3 linked regions of the Anolis sagrei genome follow. The protein of the gene in region 1 purifies or fractionates together with the protein of each later gene. This does not show direct contact. Links are inferred from orthologs where the notes say so. Each region holds a gene or a part of one and is shown on either strand. Other genes may lie near its edges. The genes, in order: SIRT6, USP48 and G3BP1.

Region 1 (7,292 bases):
CCCTGCTCTCGATCCCGCCTGCTTCTCAAGCTCGGCTGGCGGGGACGAGAGATAGGGCCTTCTCGGTGGTGGCTCCTCGGCTGTGGAACGCCCTTCCTACGGACATTAGACTAGCACCATCTCTAATGGTATTCCGCAAAAAAGTGAAGACCTGGCTGTTTGAGCAGGCGTTCCAATAATTAGTGCAATGATTGGTTAATGAACACTGGAATGGAACAATGGACGACGAATCTGGAACATGTTTTTGATGACGAGACGACAGTGAATGGGTATTGTAGTAACTGTTTATTAATTGTGTAATGTGTTAGGTTGTTAACTGTTTCTATACTGTAGCACTGAATTTTTGCTGTTCGTATTTGTTGTGAACCGCTGTGAGTCGCCTTCGGGCTGAGAACAGCGGTATATAAGTAAGGTAAATAAATAAATAATAAATAATAGTTCACCTACATCCAGAGAGCACTGTGGACTCAAACAATGATGGATCTGGACCAAACTTGGCACAAGCACTCAATACGCCCAAATATGAACACAGATGGAGTTTGGGGGAAATAGACCTTGACATTTGGGAGTTGTAGTCACTGGGATTCACAGTTTACCTACAATCAAGGAGCATTCTGAACCCCACAAATGACAGAATCGGGGCAAACTTCCTACACAGAACCCTCATGACCAACAGAAAATACTCAAGGCCATCCAATCCAACTCCCTTCCTCAGGGCAAGAAAACACAATCAAAGTCCTCCTGACAAAGGGCCATACAGCCATAGATATAGATAGATAGAAAGATAGATATGATTCGCACACACACAGATATAGTATCATAGATTTGAAGGGGACCCTTAAAGAAGGACAATGATATGTTGCATGTTCCAGGGTGGGCAAACCAGACACTCTCCACATCAACACTGACAAAGAAACAATAAGAAATACTGTTTACCCACAAGCATAAAGAAATTACATATATTAGAAACCAACACTTTCTCATTACTTTTTTTTCCAGATCAACAGACTGGGCCACAGCAACGCGTGGCAGGGGACAGCTAGTATAATATATAATAATACTGCAACGTAGCAATACTAATATGTTAAATATAATTACTACTCATAATATACAATACTGTTTTATTTTTGTATATTTGTAGATTTGAAGTTGTAATGTTTTGATTGTGAGCAGCTTTGATTCTCCGTATGGAGAGATAAAGCGGGATATAAATAAATAAAATAAAAATATTATTAGTAACATTACATGTTACATATAATATACAATTACCTGTCCGAACGTATCTCCTGCTATGAACCATCATGAAGCTTAAGATCATCAGAAGAGGCCCTGCTCTCAATCCCACCACTCTCGCAAACGCGGTTGGTGGGGACGAGAGACAGGGCCTTCTTAGCAGTGGGCCCCCGTCTGTGGAACTCTCTCCCTAAGGACATCAGGTTGGCCACCTCCCTCCTGTCCTTTAGAAGACAACTGAAGACCTGGCTCTGGGGCCAGGCGTTCGATTAGAGGCCAGCGGCAATAGGAAAAGGAAATTTGGATTTTGTGACATGGATTCCCCTGGCTTGGCTTGGTTTTTACTGACACGTTAATCTATTAATTTATTGTTAAATCTTACTGGTGATGTACAACGTTTTAAAATGATTTTATTGTGAATTGTAATTTTATGGTATTTATGCTGTTAGCATCCTCTGATGCTCATGTGAGGCCGCACTGAGTTCCCCTTGTGAGGAGAAGGGCGGGATATAAATATTTTAAATAAATAAATATTATATATAGACCAATCTCCCTGCTGTGCCACCTCTACAAAGTTCCGGAGAGACTTATTCTGCATAGAATTATGGAAAAAATAGACCCATGTCTGATTCCACAGCAAGCTGGCTTCAGGAAAGGCAAAAGCTGCACATCGCAAGTGCTGAACCTGACTCAGCACATAGAAGATGGCTTTGAAAAGCAGCAGATCACAGGAGCTGTCTTCATAGACCTGTCAGCGGCTTATTATACTGTGAACCACCACCTTCTCCTGAGAAAAATGTATAATATCACAAAGGACTACCACCTCACCCGTCTCATAGGAAACCTGCTACAAAACAGGAGCTTTTTTGTTGAGTTCCAGGGCCAGAGAAGCAGATGGCGGAAACAGAAGAACGGCTTGCCTCAGGGGAGCATGCTCGCTCCATCCATGTTCAAAATCTACACAAATGACCAGCCACTGCCAGAAGGGACAGAGAGTTTCATCTCTGCTGATGATCGTGCCATCACCGCCCAAGCAGGGAGCTTTGAGATGGTTGAACAGAAGCTCTCCGAAGCTCTAGGTGCTCTAACTGCCTATTACAGGGAAAACCAGCTGATTCCCAATCCATCTAAAACACAGACATGTGCCTTTCACCTTAAGAACAGACAAGCATCCCGAGCTCTGGGGATTACCTGGGAAGAAATCCCACTGGAGCATTGCAGCGCACCCAAATACCTGGGAGTCACTCTGGACCGTTCTCTGACCTACAAGAAGCACTGCCTGAACATCAAACAAAAAGTGGGTGCTAGAAACAATATCATATGAAAGCTGACTGGCACAACCTGGGGATCACAACCAGATACAGTGAAGACATCTGCCCTTGCGCTATGCTACTCTGCTGCTGAGTACGCATGCCCAGTGTGGAACACATCTCACCACACTAAAACAGTGGATGTGGCTCTTAATGAGACATGCCGCATTATCACAGGGTGTCTGCGCCCTACACCACTGGAGAAATTACACTGCTTAGCCGGTATTGCACCACCTGACATCCGCCGGGAAGTTGCAGCCAATAGTGAAAGGACCAAGGCAGAGACATCTCCAGCTCATCCCTTGTTTGGGTATCAGCCAGCACGTCAATGACTTAAATCAAGAAATAGTTTTCTTAGATCTACAGAGACACTCGCTGGAACACCTCAGCAAACGAGAGTTCAAAAGTGGTAGGCTCAAACCCAGCACCTCAATCCGTGGGTGATACCAGATGAGAGACTCCCCCCTGGGCACTCAGAAGACTGGGCGACTTGGAAGGCGCTGAACAGACTGCGCTCTGGCACCACGAGATGCAGAGTCAATCTTAAAAAATGGGGCTACAAAGTTGAATCCACGACATGCGAGTGTGGAAAAGAGCAAACCACTGATCACCTGCTGCAATGCAACCTGAGCCCTGCCACATGCACAATGGAGGACCTTCTTGCGGCAACACCAGAGGCACTCCAAGTGGCCAGATACTGGTCAAAGGACATTTAATCAGCTACCAAGTTTGCAAAATTTGTGTGTTTTTTAATCTGTTTGTTTGTTTTGTTCTGTTAGAATTGTAATACAATGTTCTGGTTGCGGATGACACGATAAATAATATATATATATATATATATATATATGTATGTATATTACATTGTACTATATTATTATACCACAATATATCTAATACACTATCAGTATATTATACTTTTAGTATTATATTATATATTGCACTCTATCATCAGTTCATTTATTTATTTACGACAATTATATGCCACCCTTCTCACCCCAAAGGAATTCAGAGGCTTACAAGAGATATATATATATATATATATATATACACACACACACACAATATATTATATTATTAGTATAGTACAATATCATTATTAAATATTACTATGTTGTACTGTAACATTATATTGTACTATTATTAGTAATATTACATGTAGTATAAATATATGATTATAAGATATTATTAGTAGTATTGTATTATATATATAAAAACATTTTTAATATTATATATAAGATATTAGTATTTTTACATTGCAATGTTACTAAAGAGGCCTGAGAGAGGCTGCTTTGCCTTACCTGCCTCCTCCAGCTCCAGGCGTCGCAGCCTTTGTGCGTCACGCCTCCCCCTCCCTTCCTCTTCCCTCAGGCCCCGCCTTCTTTTGTCACCTAGGCTTGCCTTCTTTTTTCTTCCGCCGTCTTTCTTGAGGGCACCTTCTCCTCTCTCACGCTGATTATTTCAAATCTTTGCGGCACAAAACCAGGCCAAAGTGTTTCTGCGACTCCGACTCGCTCCTTCCCGCCCGCTTTCCTCCTTCGAGCGAGACTGGAGGGAGGAAAAAAAAGGAGAAGCTTGCCCCTAGTTAAGATGGCTAGTGAAGCTTCGGGTTTTTGCCTCTTGCGCCTGCGCAGTTGTCGATTTCCCTGACCAAATCCAAGATGGCAGGGGAAGTTGCCTTTCGTTCAGGTTACTCCTGTAGCTTCGAGTTTGTTCCTCTTCCTCTAGTCGTCGCTTTCCTTGACCAAATCCAAGATGGCGGGGGATTTCTTTCTGTGAAGAGGTTGCGGCTGTTCGAAGGGAATATTTCCGGCTTCTCCGACCGGAAATGAACAGGAAAGGCTTGGGGAAGCTTGACTGAGAAGAAAAAAGAGAAAGAGTGGGAAGAGGAGGGAAAGATGTCGGTTGATTACGCGGCGGGCCTGTCGCCGTACGCGGACAAAGGCCTGTGCGGCCTACCGGAGGTGAGTGAAAGTAGCCCCCCCGTGGGGTTGCCATGGAAACACTCCATTGGAAAGACATCTGGCTCGCTGCCTGGGAGGTCTAGTAGTCCATATTGGAATATTCAACTTATTATATACATATATTGTAAATATTATAAATGTGCATATATAGCTTAAACAATAATCTATATAAATAAAAATGGAATGTTCGTTTGCGGGATTAACAGAACTCAAAAACCACTGGACGAATTGACACCAAATTTGGACACAAGACACCTAACAACCCAATGTATGTCCTTCACTCAAAAAAATTGCTTTTGTCATTTGGGAATTGTAGTTGCTGGGATTTATAGTTCACCTACAATCAAAGAGCATTCTGAACCCCACTAATGATGGAATTGAACCAAACTTGGCACATACTTCTCCCATGACCAACAGAAAATACTGGAAGGATTTGGTGGGCAGTGTCCTTTGGTTTTGGAGTTGTAGTTCACCTACATCCAGAGATCACTGTGGACTCAAACAATGATGGATCTGGACCAAACTCTATACGAATACTCAATATGACCAAATGTGAACACTGGTGGAGTTTGGGGAAAATAGAATCATGACATTTGTGAGTTGTAGTTGCTGGGATTTATAGTTCACCTACAATCACAGAGCATTCTGAACCCCACCAACGATAGAATTGGGCCAAACCTCCCACACAGAACCCCCATGACCACCAGAGTGGGCCATAGCAACTCGTGGCAGGGGACGGCTAGGATAGTACAGAGTATTTAAAATATATAATATTAAATTTATTATATATATTGTAAATACAGTATGTATGTTTAGAATATAATAATATTAAATTTATAATATATATAATATAAATACGGACTGTATGTTCAGAATATATATTATAATATTAAATTCATAATATATATTATTAATACTATATGTAATATAAACAATATTATAGTATATACATATATAAGTACAGTTTCTATATAATATATTAAATTTATAATATAGGTTCTATATTTAGCATATAACATATATGAAACAGTGTACATATATATTATATACATATGTTGTATAAATAATATATTTTATGTTACTATGTAACTATAAGAATATGCATTCATAACATAAATATATAATATGGTAATATAATATGTACTATATTCAGTTTTAGTTTATATATAATATAACATAATAGTATATAATAGAATATACACATATCTATGTAATATATTATATAATTATTTGCACTTTTATATTATATATGATATATAATATACACTTTGGTTATATTTATAATATATAATTTTATTTGATTATTATATGTATACAATGTAAAATATAAATTATTCACTTTTATTACATGCTAGCCTGGGGACCTGGTGATGCCGGAGTTATTAAAAGAAGGCATTGCTTGTTTTGGGATATTAGGTAATATCACTTAAGTTTGGTCCAGATCCATCATTGACTGGGTTTGGTGCTCTCTGGATAAGGGAGAACTACAACTCCCAGATTCCCAGGGCAATAATCTCCTAACACAGTTACCTGAATGCAGGTGAAGTACAACTCCCAGATTTCCAAGTCAAATCCACAAACCCTTGCAGTATGTTCAGTTGGTCATGGGCCTTCACTGTGCCAAGTTGGGTCTCTGTCCATTGTCGGCAGGGGTCACTGTTCCTCTGGATGCAGATAAACTACAATTCCCAAAATCAAGGTCCCTGAACTTCTCCAGTATGTTCTGTTGGTCATGGGGAGTCTGTGTGCCTAGTTTGGCCAGGTCTGTCATTCTTGGGGGTCACAGTGGTCTGTTGAAGTTGAAGCTGAATTGGATGAAGGTACTCCAAATCTCATCATCTGTGGTCCATCCTCCCTCAAACTGCACCAGGACCGGAGGGGGGGGGGGTGTCTGTATGCCAAATTTGGTCCAGATCCGTCATTTGTGGGGCTACACCACCACATACATACCCACATACAAACACTGACTTCTCCCCAAACCTCAATAGTATGTACAGTTGCCAATCAGTTCCTCTGTTTGCTGTGTGCCATAGAAAAAGGGTAAGGGAGAGGCATTTGGGGGGGGGGGGTCATGCAAATTCCACACCAGTGGAGAGAGTCAGAAACACTGGGATATCTGTGGTGGAGGAAACACATACAATGTAGGATGGAATTGTCCCTGAATGAAAGCCTTCACTTGGGTGGAGGGCAGTACGGTGTTGGTGGCAGGGCTCTTGAACATGTTCATGGTGCTCACTAACCTGCAGTGTCATTGGAGGGAGGGCCATTGGTGTCTCCTGAGTAGTGGGAGCTATAGCTGTTTGTGGAAGTAGGAGCCTGTCTGTGAAAGTGGACACCCCAGCCACATACACACATACATATTTTCACTTTTATTGTGTGTATAATCTTTGCGTAAAGATATAGATTTCAAGCATTACTTTTTGGGACTACAACTTCTAATGAACAGGAGTCATTGGACCACACTTCTTCATCATGCTGTTCTTGGGTTCCATCTAAAATCAGGCTCTGGGAAAAAGCTGGGAAGTGAGAGACTTTGTTATTATTTGCTTTCAAGTTGTTTCCAGCTTAAGATGGTCACTCACTGCTTCGGAGGATGCATTCCCTCCTTTCCTTAGGCTATATTGACTCCTCAAACCACAACGTTTGGCTCTCTTGTATAGCATTAATTGCATTTTCCCTTTCTTCTCATTTACTGTCCAGTCCTTTGACACTCCAGATGAACTGGAGGAGAAGATCTCTCGCTTGGCAGACCTTATCCGGGAGGCTTCCAATGTCGTCTTTCACACTG
Region 2 (7,016 bases), on another chromosome or scaffold:
ACATTAACAACCACAATAATATAATACTAATAGCAACAATAAAAATATAATGATGAAGATAAGGCTAAAAACAGGACATCCAAGGAGGGAGAGAAAACTATAATATATATATATATACACACACACACACTCAAGTATAAAACACTAACAACCATAATAGTATATAATTATATATAATAATAATAATATAATAATATAGTACTAACAACAACAATAACAATGTAATAATGATGATAAAGGACAGCCAAGGAGGGAGAGAAATATATATACATACAATATATTATATTATTAGCATAGTACAATATCAGTATTTTATATCACTATATTGTACTATACCATTATACTATATTATTAATAATACCACATGTAATATTAAATATATAATTATACTATTGTATTATTATTATAATATTAATTATATATATTAACAATATTAATAATAATAACTGGAGCCCCCGGTGGCGCAGTGGGTTAAAGCACTGAGCTGCTAAGCTTGTTGATCGAAAGGTCGCAGGTTCGATTCCGGGGAGCGGCGTGAGCTTCCGCTGTCAGCCCTAGCTTCTGCCAACCTAGCAGTTCGAAAACATGCAAATGTGAGTAGATCAATAGGTACCGCTCCGGCGGGAAGGTAACGGCGCTCCATGCAGTCATGCCGGCCACATGACCTTGGAGGTGTCTACGGACAACGCTGGCTCTTCGGCTTAGAAATGGAGATGAGCACCACACCCCAGAGTCAGACATGACTGGACTTAATGTCAGGGGACTACCTTTTACCTTTACCTTATTATTATTATCATGTTGCATTACATTATCTATATAAATAAAAATGTAATGTTCGTTTGTGGGATTAACGTAACTCAAAAACCACTGGACGAATTGACACCAATTCGGGTGTCCATCACCCATTAACACACAAGCACATGTGCGGAACAGACATAAAACCCAAAAAAATACACCATAAAAACATATACACATACTCATATACATATGCACATGCACACATATACACACGTATGTATATATATATATATGCACAAACACACATATACACACATACATACATATATACATATAAACATCCACACACATATACATATCCACATACATACATATATACACACAAATATGCCTACAGACAAGCACGCACATACACACAATATGCATGTACACATATTATTTTATTTATTTATTTGTCATGCCAGGGCAACCAGTCATTTATATTACATTTCTAACAGAACACAGCAAACAGACAAAATACAACATTTGTGAGTTTGGTAGTTGATTCAATGTCCTTTGAGCAGTATCTGGCCCCTTGGAGTGCCTCTGGTGTTGCCGCAAGAAGGTCCTCCCTTGTGCATGTGGCCTTGTGCATTGCAGCAGGTGGTCAGTGGTTTGCTCTTCTCCACACTCGCATGTCGTGGATTCCACCCTGTAGCCCCATTTCTTAAGATTGGCTCTGCATCTCATGGTGCCAGAACGCAGTCTGTTTAGCGCCTTCCAAGTCACCCAGTCTTCTGTGTGCCCAGGGGGGAGGGAGGAGTCTCTCATCTGGTATCAGCCATTGGTTGAGGTTCTGGGTTTGAGCCTGCCACTTTTGGACTCTCGCTTGCTAAGGTGTTCCAGCGAGTGTCTTTGTAGATCTTAGAAAACTATTTCTAGATTTAAGTCGTTGACGTGCTGGCTGATACCCAAACAGGGGATGAGCTGGAGATGTCTCTGCCTTGGTTCTTTCACTATTGGCTGCTACTTCCCGGCGGATGTCAGGTGGTGCAATACCGGCTAAGCAGTGTAATTTCTCCAGTGGTGTAGGGTGCAGACACCCCGTGATGATGCGGCATGTCTCATTAAGAGCCACATCCACTGTTTTAGCATGATGAGATGTGTTCCACAGTGGGCATGCATACTCAGCAGCAGACACATCCACTGTTTTATACATATAAACTCATAAATATATACACACACACATATATACACACTAACATACATATATATACACACACAAACACAAATATATACAAATATATATACACATATACACAATATGCATGTACAGATCTGTCATTATGGTCCATATGTACATTATGAATGTACACATATAAACACACAAATACACACACACACACATATATATAAACACACCCACATATATACCCACATATATACACACACAAATACACATATACACACAAATATATACACACTTACACACATACACATACAAATACATATATACACACACAAATACACATATACACACAAATATATACACACTTACACACATACACATACATATATACACACACAAATACACATATACACACAAATATATACACACTTACACACATATACACCCACATATATACACACACAAATACACATATACACACAAATATATACACACTTACACACCCACATATATATACACACACAAACATTGTATTATATTATTGTGATACACAAATATATCTACACATATATTGTCGAAGGCAATATACACATATACACACATACAAACACAATATATATATATATATATATAATATATATAAATCATTAACAACCATCCTCATAATATATAGTAATAATGATGCACTTATTAATAGCAACAATCACAATGTACTGATGGTGATGGTGGTGATGAGGGCACAAAGGGACATCCTCAGGGCGATGGAGGAGTGGCCAAGCGAGGCCTGGAGGGCAGGCGTGGGCCCGGCCTTGAGGCCTACGGGGCAGGCAGGCAGGCAGGCCGGCCTCTTTCCCTCGCGGACTGAGGGACTCACCGGCAGGCGGCGCGGAGGCAGGCCGGGAGGGCGACGCGGTAGGCGGCCTCGACGTGCTCCTGGGTCACGGCCTCCGGGGGCACCTCCTCGGCCCAGCGCCAGGCCGCCTTCTCCAGCTGCAGCCGCGGAGCCATCCCCTCACCCCTCGACGCCGGAAGCCCCGCCAGCCGGAAACGGAAGCCAGGAAGAAAAGCGGCCCTCCTCGCCCGCCGTACACGGAGTGACGTCGACCCGCGAAGCGGATTGGCTCTTTCCGCGCAGAAAATGGCTTGCGCCTGACGTCACTGCTCGAAGCCGATTGGTTCCTTCGACGAGGCTTCACGCGCGCTACATAAACCACGCCCCGCGTTTACGCCTGAAGCGGATTGGTCCATTCGGTGCACTCTCTCTCCAGGCCACGCCCCTGTCGCCACGACTTGAAGCGGATTGGTCCACTCGGCGCACTCTCTCTATAAGCCACGCCCCTTTTCGCGACGACTTGAAGCGGATTGGTCCACTCGGCGCACTCTCTATAAGCCACGCCCTTTTTCGTCATAACTTGAAGCGGATTGGTTTATTCTGCGCACTCTTTCTATAAGCCACGCCCTTTTTCGTCACGACTTGAAGCGGATTGGTCCATTCGGCGCACTCTCTGTATAAGCCACGCCCATTTTCGTCACGACTTGAAGCGGATTGGTCCATTCGGCTCACTCGCTCCATAGGCCACGCCCCTTTTCGTCACGACTTGAAGCGGATTGGTCCACTCGGCGCACTCTCTCTATAAGCCACGCCCCTTTTCGTGACGACTTGAAGCGGATTGGTCCACTCGGCGCACTCTCTCTATAAGCCACGCCCTTTTCCGTCACGACTTGAAGCGGATTGGTCCATTCGGCGCACTCTCTCTATAGGCCACGCCCCTTTTCGTCACGAATTGAAGCGCAAAGGCCGTTAGAGATCTGCATAGGCCACGCCCCGAATGGGTAACGCCAGACGCGGATTGGTTCCTTCTGCGCAAAGGGCGTTTGCCCGCGCTACGTAAGCCACGCCCCTTATTGTGTACGTCGAATCTGATTGGCCCATTTGTACCCCGGAGGCGACATAGGCCAAGCTCCGACGGGTTACGTCTGACGTCACAACTCATGCGCACCGGCCCCGCCCCTTATTTCGTGCTTCTTAGGCCACGCCCCGACGTCGCGACTCGAAGCCGATTGGTTGGTGTGCTCATTTGCCCCGCCCCTCACTTCTAACTTCATATCATGACGTCACTGCCCGAAGCGGATTGGTCCGTTCGGCCCAAAGGGGGCGGAGTCCTTCTCTCTCCCGCCTGCTCTACTCCGCCCACAAAAGGTCGGAGGGGGGAATGCTAGGCGCATGCGCACTGCTTGGAGTGCCCTTTTTTTGCCACGCATGCGCAACTAGTCGCAAACTTTCCCTCGTATTAAATAATAATTAATTATACTAATAATAATAATAATAATTAGTAATAATAATACTAATATTTTTCTAAAGCGGAATATATTTAAAATGACATTATTTGTATTATGCCATATATTAATATTTAGTGTATTTCATGTCAATTTTGTTTGGCATCATATTAAATTGCACAGTAAAATAAGTATAAATAATATACTATGACATGAGAAAATATAAATAATGTGATTTGTAATATAAAATTTTGCATTTTAAATACAATTATTTACTATATTATTATATGTCTTTATATGTTATTATATATTATTTATTTGCAATATTATGATATATTATTTACTATATTATTATACCTTATTTATTTGCTAAATTATTGTGTATTATTTATTTACTATATTATAAATTATTTATTTACTATATTATTATACATTATTTATTTGCTAAATTATATATTTATTTACTATATTTTATAATATATTATTTATTTGCTAAATTATTACACATTATATATTATTTGTTTACTATATTATATATTATAATATATATTATATATTATTTATTTGCTATATATATATATGCTTTTTGTTCCTCTCAGACTCAATTTATTGAGTCTTTGGACTCAATTGTCTTTTAAGTCGGGACAGGGATGTTCACATATAAACACACAAATATACACACACACATATACACAATATAACCGTGTATATATATAGGGTTTCATCTAGCTGACTATCGTGCCATCACTGCCGAAGCAGGGAGCTTTGACAGGCTGTAGCACGGTTGTGTTGTGAAAGGACTCTGCTATATTTTTGCTTGTTTCTGGGACTTGCTATCCAGCTAGCAGTAGTTTGGGGAAGTTGTGATTTGGAACCTATAAATCACTACTAGACAGGAATGTCTTGACTGTAAACTCATTGTGTAAAACTGGGTGGAAAATACCGTTCTAATGGACATGTGGTCACACAACTGAAGGGAGTTTTAGCTGTGAAAGGGCACTTGCGATCCAGAGCGCAGCGGTTCAGGGATAGATCATTTCCCGCGAGAGGTTATCCAGGAAGCGCTGTCTGGATTTAGGAAGAAGCAAAGGACTCGGAGAAGGAGGCTCGGACACGTCCCCAGCTCTTGGGGTTCAGCACCATTTATTTAAGAAAAGAGAATACGAATAAAAGGGGGGCCGGGGACGAGGGATAAGGGCAGTGCGGCAGCGGCGGAGGCGGCTTCTGACTCTCGAAAGGAAGCCGGAGAAGCCGACGGAGGCTCGTGGTCCGAGTCCAAACGAGCCAGAGACTGGCATGACGGTTCGTTGGAGAAGGCTTTCTTCGGGCATCTTTGGAACCGCCGTCCTGCTCTTTGGCTGAAGCGGGAGGAGAGGAAGGTCAAGGCGAGCCCTCACTCAGTGCAGACCAGACCAAAGGGGATCGGCGAAGGGGAAGAGTCCGCGGATGGCCTTGTCCGGCGCAGCGCGAGCCGTAAGAGTGCGGCCAAAGAAGCCCTGTGCGCCTATCTTCTTCCTCGTAAGGCACTGGCGGAGGAGTTGGGGAAGCGTCAAGGCAGTGGTTAGCCCTCCGGGGCGCCGGAACAAGCTTGCGGCTTTGCTTGGGAAGCCTCTCCGGAGTCCAGGAAACTAATGGCAGAGCGAAGGGAGGTTCGGCTACTAACCCAGGACGCTCCCGATTCCTCCCTCTGGATGGAGGGAGCGCATCAAAGCCCTCTTCGGACGCTCATCTCCTCGTGTTGGCCGTAGACACAAAACACACACCCCCCCGCCTCCCCCCGTATTTTTTTTGGTAGCAGCAAAGCACCTTTTTGTGTGATTCTCTCTGTTAAAAAAATCATCATCATAAAATAATAATAATAGAAGTCCTCTCAGTTGGAAAAATAATAATAACAATAATAATAATCATAAAAGGCATCCCGGAGAGTGGCGGTGGTGGTGCCCCCCATTACGAGGGGCACTCCTGGACGTTGACGCCGGCCTCCGCCTGGTGATGGAGGTCGACCGGCGCCTGCAGCTGATGGCCGGGCCTCTCGTTGCGCAGCAACACATTCTTGACGCACCCCGAGATCCCCGAGGTGTATTTGCCAGCCGTCAGTGCTTGCGGGTCGGGGGCACCGCCTGCAGAAAGGGGAAAAGGGGCATCATCGCTGTAGGAAATGGCCTCCTCTAGTAATTTGTTTGTATATGATTCTGTTTGCTTACTGTATTGTATATGTATGTTTTGACATGCAGCTTTCCCTATATGTGTCTTGAGGTTGAGGGATGATCGGATCTGGGACTAATCTGAGCTCAGACTCCATTTTAGACCAGACTCCATGAGCCACTATTAGACCCTTTGATGAGTTTTAAGTGTGCTGTCTCTAGATAGTTCAAATGCAATGTCTTTGCCTTGAATACTAATGTGTGAAATGTCACATTTCTATGTCAGAGTTTGTATATGGTACTCAGAGTTTAGTAATCTATATCTATCTCTATCTATCTATGTATATAATAAAAGTCAAAGTTTGTATGCGGAGGACAAAAGTGTGGCGGTGTGGCAGTGTATGTGCCAACATTCTGATTGGCCAGCCTGAAAGTTCCAAGATTCTGATTGGCTGCCACTGTGGTGCTATTTGCATATGGTCTCGGATTGGCCAGCTTTACAGGAGCCCCTGGTGGAGAAAAGGGTTCATGACAGAAACGGAGACATGAGAGAAGGAGATTTGCATATGGTCTCTGATTGGCCAGCCTCAATTCCAAGATTCCGAGATGACAAAGAGAGGAAAGGAAAAGGCCAGAGGGGGCCGAGTCAGAACATTACCAATACAGACCACACTTGGCACACAGAGCCC
Region 3 (7,006 bases), on another chromosome or scaffold:
AGTTTCCAGGTGGAATGAGGTCCCGGTCAGGGTTGGCTTGATGTGCCTTCCTCATGGCATGTTTCTCTCTTTTGCCCTCCATTCATGCCTCTTCAAATTCTACAGCACTGCTGGTCACAGCTGACCTCTAGCTGGAGTGCTCAAGGGCCAGGGCTTCCCAGTTCTCAGTGACTATGCCAGAGTTTTTAAGGTTGGCTTTGAATCTCTTTAAATCTCTTTTTCTGTCCACCAACATTCTGTTTTCCGTTCTTGAGTTCGGAGTAGAGCAATTGCTTTGGGAAATGGTGGTCTGGCATCCAAACAATGTGGCCGGTCCAGCGGAGTTGATGGTGGAGGACCATCGCTTCAATGCTGGTGGTCTTTGCTTCTTCCAGCACGCACTCATTTGCTATCTGACCATTGTTACCATATTACGAACTGGAAGAGCAGGGCTGTAGCAAAAATTAATGGGGAGGGGTGGCTCTTACAGGCCCGGGTGGCTGTAGTGTTCCTCCACTAGAGTACTCTTCCAACTGGCCCTCATTTTCATAGCTTATTATTAAGTTATTATTCCTGTTATTTGCCATTTTGGTCACGTGCTGATATTGCTTGGTCTATGACGGGTCCACAAACTTTTTAAACAGAGGGCCAGGTCACAATCCCTCAAACTGTTGGAGGGCCGGATTATAATTTGAAAAAAACATGAATGAATTCCTATGCACATTACACATATCTTATCTGGAGTGCAAAAAACACTTTAAAACAATACAATAATTAAAATGTGGACAAGATACTTGGAGGAATGAGACCCACCACGTCCATCCTAGACCCCTGCCCATCCTGGCTTCTTAAGGAGGCCAGAGGGGGATTGGCCGAGTGGGTAACGGTGGTGGTTAATGCCTCCCTTCGGGAGGGCAAGATTCCAGCGAGCCTAAAACAGGCTGTTATAAAGCCGCTGTTGAAGAAACCATCACTTGACCCCACTAAATTGGACAACTTTCGGCCTGTTTCCAATCTCCCCTTTTTGGGCAAAGTCATGGAAAGCGTGGTGGCCTCACAACTCCAGGTATTCTTGGGAGACACGGATTATCTGGATCCGGCACAGTCTGGTTTCAGACCGGGACATGGTACCGAGACGGTCTTGGTCGCCTTAGTGGATGATCTGCGCCGGGAGCTAGACAGGGGGAGTGTGTCCCTGTTGGTGCTCCTGGACCTCTCAGCGGCCTTCGATACCGTCGACCACGGTATTCTTCTGGGGCGCCTTGCAGGGATGGGTCTTGGGGGCACTGCTCTGCAGTGGCTCCGGTCATTCCTGGAGGGTCGTACTCAGAAGGTGTTATTGGGGGACTCCTGTTCAACGCCGCAGCCGTTGACCTGTGGCGTTCCTCAGGGATCCATCTTGTCCCCCTTGCTGTTTAACATCTACATGAAGCCGCTGGGTGAGATCATCCGGAGTTTCGGGGTGCGGTGTCACCTGTACGCAGATGACGTCCAACTCTGTCACTCCTTCCCACCTGCTACTAAGGAGGCCGTCGAAGTCCTGAACCGGTGCCTGGCCGCTGTAATGGTCTGGATGAGGGCGAACAAACTGAAATTAAATCCAGACAAGACAGAGGTACTCCTGGTCAGTCGCAAGGCCGAACAGGGTATAGGGTTACAGCCTGTGCTGGACGGGGTCGCACTCCCCTTGAAGGCGCAGGTTCGCAGCTTGGGTGTGACCCTGGACTCATCGCTGAGCCTGGAGCCCCAGGTTTCAGCGGTGACCAGGGGAGCATTTGCACAGCTTAGGCTCGTGCGCCAGCTGCGCCCGTATCTTGGGAAGTCTGACTTGGCCACGGTGGTACACGCTTTGGTCACATCCCGCCTCGACTACTGCAACGCTCTCTACGTGGGGCTGCCCTTGAAGACGGCCCGGAAGCTTCAGCTAGTCCAGCGCGCGGCAGCCATGTTGTTAACGGGAGCTGGACGCAGAGAGCATACAACGCCTCTGCTGTCCCAACTCCACTGGCTGCCGATCTGCTACCGGGCCCAATTTAAGGTGCTGGTGTTATCCTACAAAGCCCTAAACGGTTCCGGCCCAAAATACCTTGCAGACCGCATCTCGGCCTACGAGCCCACGAGGGCCTTGAGATCATCCGGGGAGGCCCTTCTCTCGGTCCCGCCCGCCTCACAGGCACGTCTGGCGGGGACGAGGGAGCGGGCCTTCTTGGTGGTGGCCCCCCGACTGTGGAACACTCTCCCTGCTGAAGTTAGACAGGCGCCCTCCTTGATGGCCTTCCGTAGGGGCCTAAAAACATGGCTCTTCGAGCAGGCCTTCAATTGAGTGTAGTTAAATTGACACTGGAATGAATTAGGACTACGAATTTCGGCTATGACCCCAGGACTTGACGAAGCGGATTTTTAGTATAAGTATATGTTATGTTGTATTTGTCTGGTTTGTATCGTCTTGACTCACTGTACACTGTCTTCTTTGTTGTTGTTCACCGCCCCGAGTCGCCCCCGGGCTGAGAGGGGCGGTCAATAAATGCAAGAAATAAATAAATAAATAAATAAATAAAATGAAGAACAGTTTTAATAAATATAAGCTTATTAGTATTTCAATGGGAAGTGTGGGCCTGCTTTTGGCTGATGAAATAGGGTTGTTGTTGTTGTTGTTGTGTGCTTTCAAGTCATTTCAGACTTAGGTTGACCCTGAGTGAGGGCCGGGTAAATGACCACAAAGGGCCGCATCCAGCCCCCGGGCCTTAGTTTGAGGACCCCTGGTCTATGACATGTTGGTGGGCATGTGCATATGTTACCTAAATACCCTAAGGCACTGGATCCCATTAGATCTTGGTAGCTAAGCAGGGTCATCTTTGGTGATGGGAGGCGACCAGTGCCTTGAATGCACATACATGAACATATGTGCATGCTGCCACAAGAAAACCCCTCAAGGTCCAGTGTATACAAGGTTCACTCAAATCCAGGGGACTCCTTGGCTCGTTTGTTCTCAAATACAGTGCACTCTCAGTTAACCAGAACGCAGGCAAACGGTGGTACTCACGAGTAAACAGCAAAAGAGAAATCGAAGGAATAATTCTTTGAATAAAAATTAAAATAAAATCAGATTAGCAGAAACGTGTAAACTTGGCATGCCTGTTGCAATTCGACGCTTGTTAGTAAAGTTCATTAAGTTGAGAAGTTTTTTGACTGCCATTTAACTAAAATTGCGTGCTGGAGTCACAAAGCTGTTTGCACAATAGGTGTTAAAACTGTCTTAGTTTGCTTTAAATTTCTGTATTTGATGCAATACCAAATCAATACAGAGTGTATGGTATGGCACAGCATGGGACATAGTATTAATGTGGATTATAATGAGTTCCAGGCACTCATTCGGTGATTGAAGAGACTACCCAGAGCAAGGCGAGGACGCGCACGCAGCCTCTCCCGCTGCTCGGAAGCGGCAGAATATTTTCAACGCCTTTCCCTTTAAGAAACGCCACTCCGTCTCCTGTCAATCACGGGATAACACCTTTGGCAATTGGGCCCGGCGACCGGCGCTCGTCTTCAGCCCGCCTCTCCTCGCACGGGGTTTCCAGTCCTCGATTCCTAGGGTTCCCACTGTGCAGCGCACCTATCCTTGGCGGGCAGCGTGGCCACGCCCCCGCGGGTTCTCACTCCTAATAACGCGGGGAGCGTCGTCTCATTGGTGTTTGCCAGATCCGTCGACTCCTGACTCTGCCTTAATAGGTCTGCGCTCCACACCTATTGGCTAGAACACCTGTCTGTCAGAGAAACCGGCTTCACGTTATCCGCAGCCAGATTCGTCGATCCAGTTGCCTTTCCGAACGCGGCCTGCCCCTTCTTCCTCCAGCTGGCCTATCAGCTTCCGAGCTGGGGAGAGGGCCGGCTTCTGACTGGTTGCGAGCGTGCCACAGGGTTAGGTTACGCGCGAGGTATATTTAGCCGGCGGTAGAGCACGCTGTTGCGTGAGGTGCTTCCCGTCTCCTTCGGCTCGCCCGCTTGTCTGCCTCGCACGGAGTGAAACCTCCTCCTTCTCGCCGCCCATCTCCGCCTCGCCCGCAGGTTGGTGCGAGAGGGGGAAAGCCGTTGGGTCACGTCCTTCACGAGCCGGCGAGCGGCGCGCCTTTGTCGTCACCGTCGCCATAGACACGCGGGCTCCGCGCGGCCTTTCCTGACTGGGGGGCGCCGGGCGAAACCATTACACATTGGGGGAGAGGGGGGTTGACGAGCACATTGAGTGGGCCTTTGGCTCTGGCGTTGAGGAGGCGATGCTCCCCCTTCCCCCCTCGGCAGCGAGGGAAGAGGTTCTGCCCGGGATAAGGGGTGGCAGAGCGGCCAAAAAAGGAGCGGGCCGCGTTGCGTATCTGAAGCCGCGCCGTTACTAAGCGAGCTGAGGTCTATTAACAGGAATTCGTGAGGCCCAAGAGGAGAGTTCCATTCAGGATTCTGGAAAGGGGGTGGCGGGAGTGACTGAGGATCCCAATCTGGCCCAGATCGAGTGCTTCCCCCCCCTCCTCGAGGACCTCTGAATAGCGGAGGGCCCGAATCGTGACTGAAAACCTGGAAGGGCCTGGCTTGTGGGCTCCTCTCGCGCCTTTGGGGGAAACCGCCCCGCCAAAGGCTTCCTAAAAAGGGGCGGAAATCGGGGGAGGTGTAACAGACGCCTCGCCTCCCCCTTCCAACCATTCACCTTAACAGAAACCGCTGCAATCCGGAGGACAATAGTGGCGAGGGAAGGAAACCTTGGCAAAGGAGGCAGGGCCGCAAAGCGGGTTCATTGCCGCCTCGTTGTGTGAGAGCGGCAAGCTTTTGTCCCTTCCCTTGGGCGGTCCAGCGTTGGCTTCTTTTCTTTCGTTGGCCTCGGATTGTACCCAATGTCGGGGTTTCCTTGGCTTTGTTCTAGCAGTATAGCCAGCAGAAAATCAAACCCTTTTGCTTCAGAGATGGATTGTTAGTATTTTAAAATACAGAATAGATCCCCGCAAAACTAGACCAAAGCGTGTCTGTACCAGTGAGGACATTTGTCAAGGTCAGGCTTAGCAGTAATAAGAGGTCGATGCACATATTTTCTATCTTTTCCTTAACTAAGTTGGACACTTGAGTACCCTTGGAAAGATTGTTCAGTGTGTGTGTTAGTTTGAGCATGAAAATCTGTAGTGAAATTGGTGTTCATCACACGCAGATATATATACTTACACCGTGTCAGGTGGCAGCATCATAATCTACTGCAGGGTATTTGTAGCAAGGGGCAGTGCTTCCAGTCTGTGCTATTTTTATCCTCTTTTTTTCACAGGCATGGCACAAGGTTAGGAACTGCAGGCAGACCTACTGAAGTTTGCAGATAGGTGTTCCCTATTCTGTGAACTGCTACTTTAGGGTCATGTGAAAGGCTGTGGTCAATCATCGATGGAAGAGTCATGCTATTTAGTTAAAGAGCTTTATATATGTGTGTATTTCTTTAAAATGGAGGATATCTTATGTTTAAATTATATTGAAGTTCTTTGAGAAGTGTAGTGTTAAAGATTGACATGATAGTGCATTGTTTGTCTCTTCTAAGCACTTTACAGGCTTGTATTGTGTTTTAATATTGAGCCCTTAACAGTGATTGAATTGTCTTTTGCTTGCATATAAGCAAAGTGGATGGGGTTATAATAAACATCATCTGGACCAGTTATATTATTTTTGCTGTCCATACTTTCTAGCATTTCTCAGAGTAAGAAATGCCTATAGTTGGAACTCTGTTTTTATAAAGGGAATACTACAATCTTGTTTCTCATTAATTTATTGAAAATAAAAATAAAGTATGTGATCAGAAGGAATTAAGAAAATAAAGATGGTTAATTGTGTATTTTCCCTTATGATGTAGTTTCACTTATGATGTAGATTCAGGAGCACCTCATGAGTTACATAGGACTATTTTCACTTGGAATTCTCACCTCCTCCCTTCCCAGAAACTGAAAAAGCACATGGATAATATAAAAAAGTTAAGGAACAAAGAGCACTTTCTACAAAGCTGCATGTGGTCAAGCAGTCCTCTAGAAATACTCATTTTTTGTCATTATTGTTTGGACAAAGTCATATTTAAGTGAGCTCTACAGCACTATACTTTTCCAGTATTGGGATTCCTATAGCTTAGACTCCCACTCCCCCAGTAGCTCATATTAATAGAATATGACAATTGTAGTATAACAATACCTTTGGAATGGTTAATTCAAACTTAAGTGAATCTTGAATTTTTAAGAACGGTGGAATGTAGTGATTAAAAGTCATATTAGGCATTTATTAATTGGCTTGGAATTATTTTTCCTCTTGGTACAGAAGATGTATGCTTTCAAATTTTTGATGCTGCAGAGTTGCTCAGTATAATGTATTTTTCAGTTGCAACTTTTGAGGCTTCCTTTCCCTCAGTGAGTTCTTATGTAATTAGTGGAAATATAATGTAATAGCAATCCCATAAAGGTCAGAGCTCAGGGGTCAGTCTGTGGCAGAGGAGCCACAACTTTCCAGCCCCTGCCAGATGTATGTCAGTGCAGAATGAGCTGTGTGTGTGTGTGTGTGTGTGTGTGTATATATATAGAGCAATTTTCACTCTCTTCTTGCCTTTTTCCTCCATTAGTTTCAACAGGAAGTAAAATGACAGCTTATTTCCAGCCAATACAGCATTTATGTATCCATTTTGATCATGTGCCCCAGAAATGAAGATACTGGATGCAGAGCTTTCCTGGATTAGTCCTGCAGTACTCCTCCCTCACTATTAATTTATATTCTACCTTACTCCCAATAATAAAACTGAAAGTGGCTAACATATTTAAAACGATAAAGATTAAAAACCATATAGAGACTGTAAAGAAAAGTATTACTCGGTTATTTAAAAACAGTCAAACAATTTTTATTTAAAGCATTGGAATTCAAAAAATGCATAAAATGCAACACACATCTACCCTAGTCATTTTCTAAAAGTCTGACATTATAAAAATGTTTTGACTTCCTGGGTGAAGGTGGGTGGGTGGGTGGGTGGGTGGCA

What was found.
Region 2: the proteins of SIRT6 (region 1) and USP48 purify together in Homo sapiens (affinity purification with mass spectrometry; 3 studies listed by BioGRID, with this or other methods). This does not show direct contact. The link is inferred for Anolis sagrei from reciprocal best matches to the Homo sapiens genes SIRT6 and USP48.
Region 3: the proteins of SIRT6 (region 1) and G3BP1 purify together in Homo sapiens (affinity purification with mass spectrometry; 3 studies listed by BioGRID and IntAct, with this or other methods). This does not show direct contact. The link is inferred for Anolis sagrei from reciprocal best matches to the Homo sapiens genes SIRT6 and G3BP1.

Annotation. Positions count from the first base shown.
Region 1 is NC_090034.1:29,081,309-29,088,600, reverse strand, and holds the start of SIRT6 (NAD-dependent protein deacylase sirtuin-6), read left to right. Parts: upstream 1-4,190; 5' UTR 4,191-4,438; coding exon 4,439-4,504; intron 4,505-7,204; coding exon 7,205-7,292. UniProt on the Homo sapiens protein: NAD-dependent protein deacetylase, deacylase and mono-ADP-ribosyltransferase that plays an essential role in DNA damage repair, telomere maintenance, metabolic homeostasis, inflammation, tumorigenesis and aging.
Region 2 is NC_090033.1:9,935,904-9,942,919, reverse strand, and holds the start of USP48 (ubiquitin carboxyl-terminal hydrolase 48), read right to left. Parts: upstream 3,001-7,016; 5' UTR 2,915-3,000; coding exon 2,781-2,914; intron 1-2,780. Other genes in the region: HSPG2 (basement membrane-specific heparan sulfate proteoglycan core protein), read right to left, coding at 6,131-6,303.
Region 3 is NC_090022.1:84,248,824-84,255,829, reverse strand, and holds the start of G3BP1 (ras GTPase-activating protein-binding protein 1), read left to right. Parts: upstream 1-3,901; 5' UTR 3,902-4,044; intron 4,045-7,006. UniProt on the Homo sapiens protein: Protein involved in various processes, such as stress granule formation and innate immunity. Plays an essential role in stress granule formation.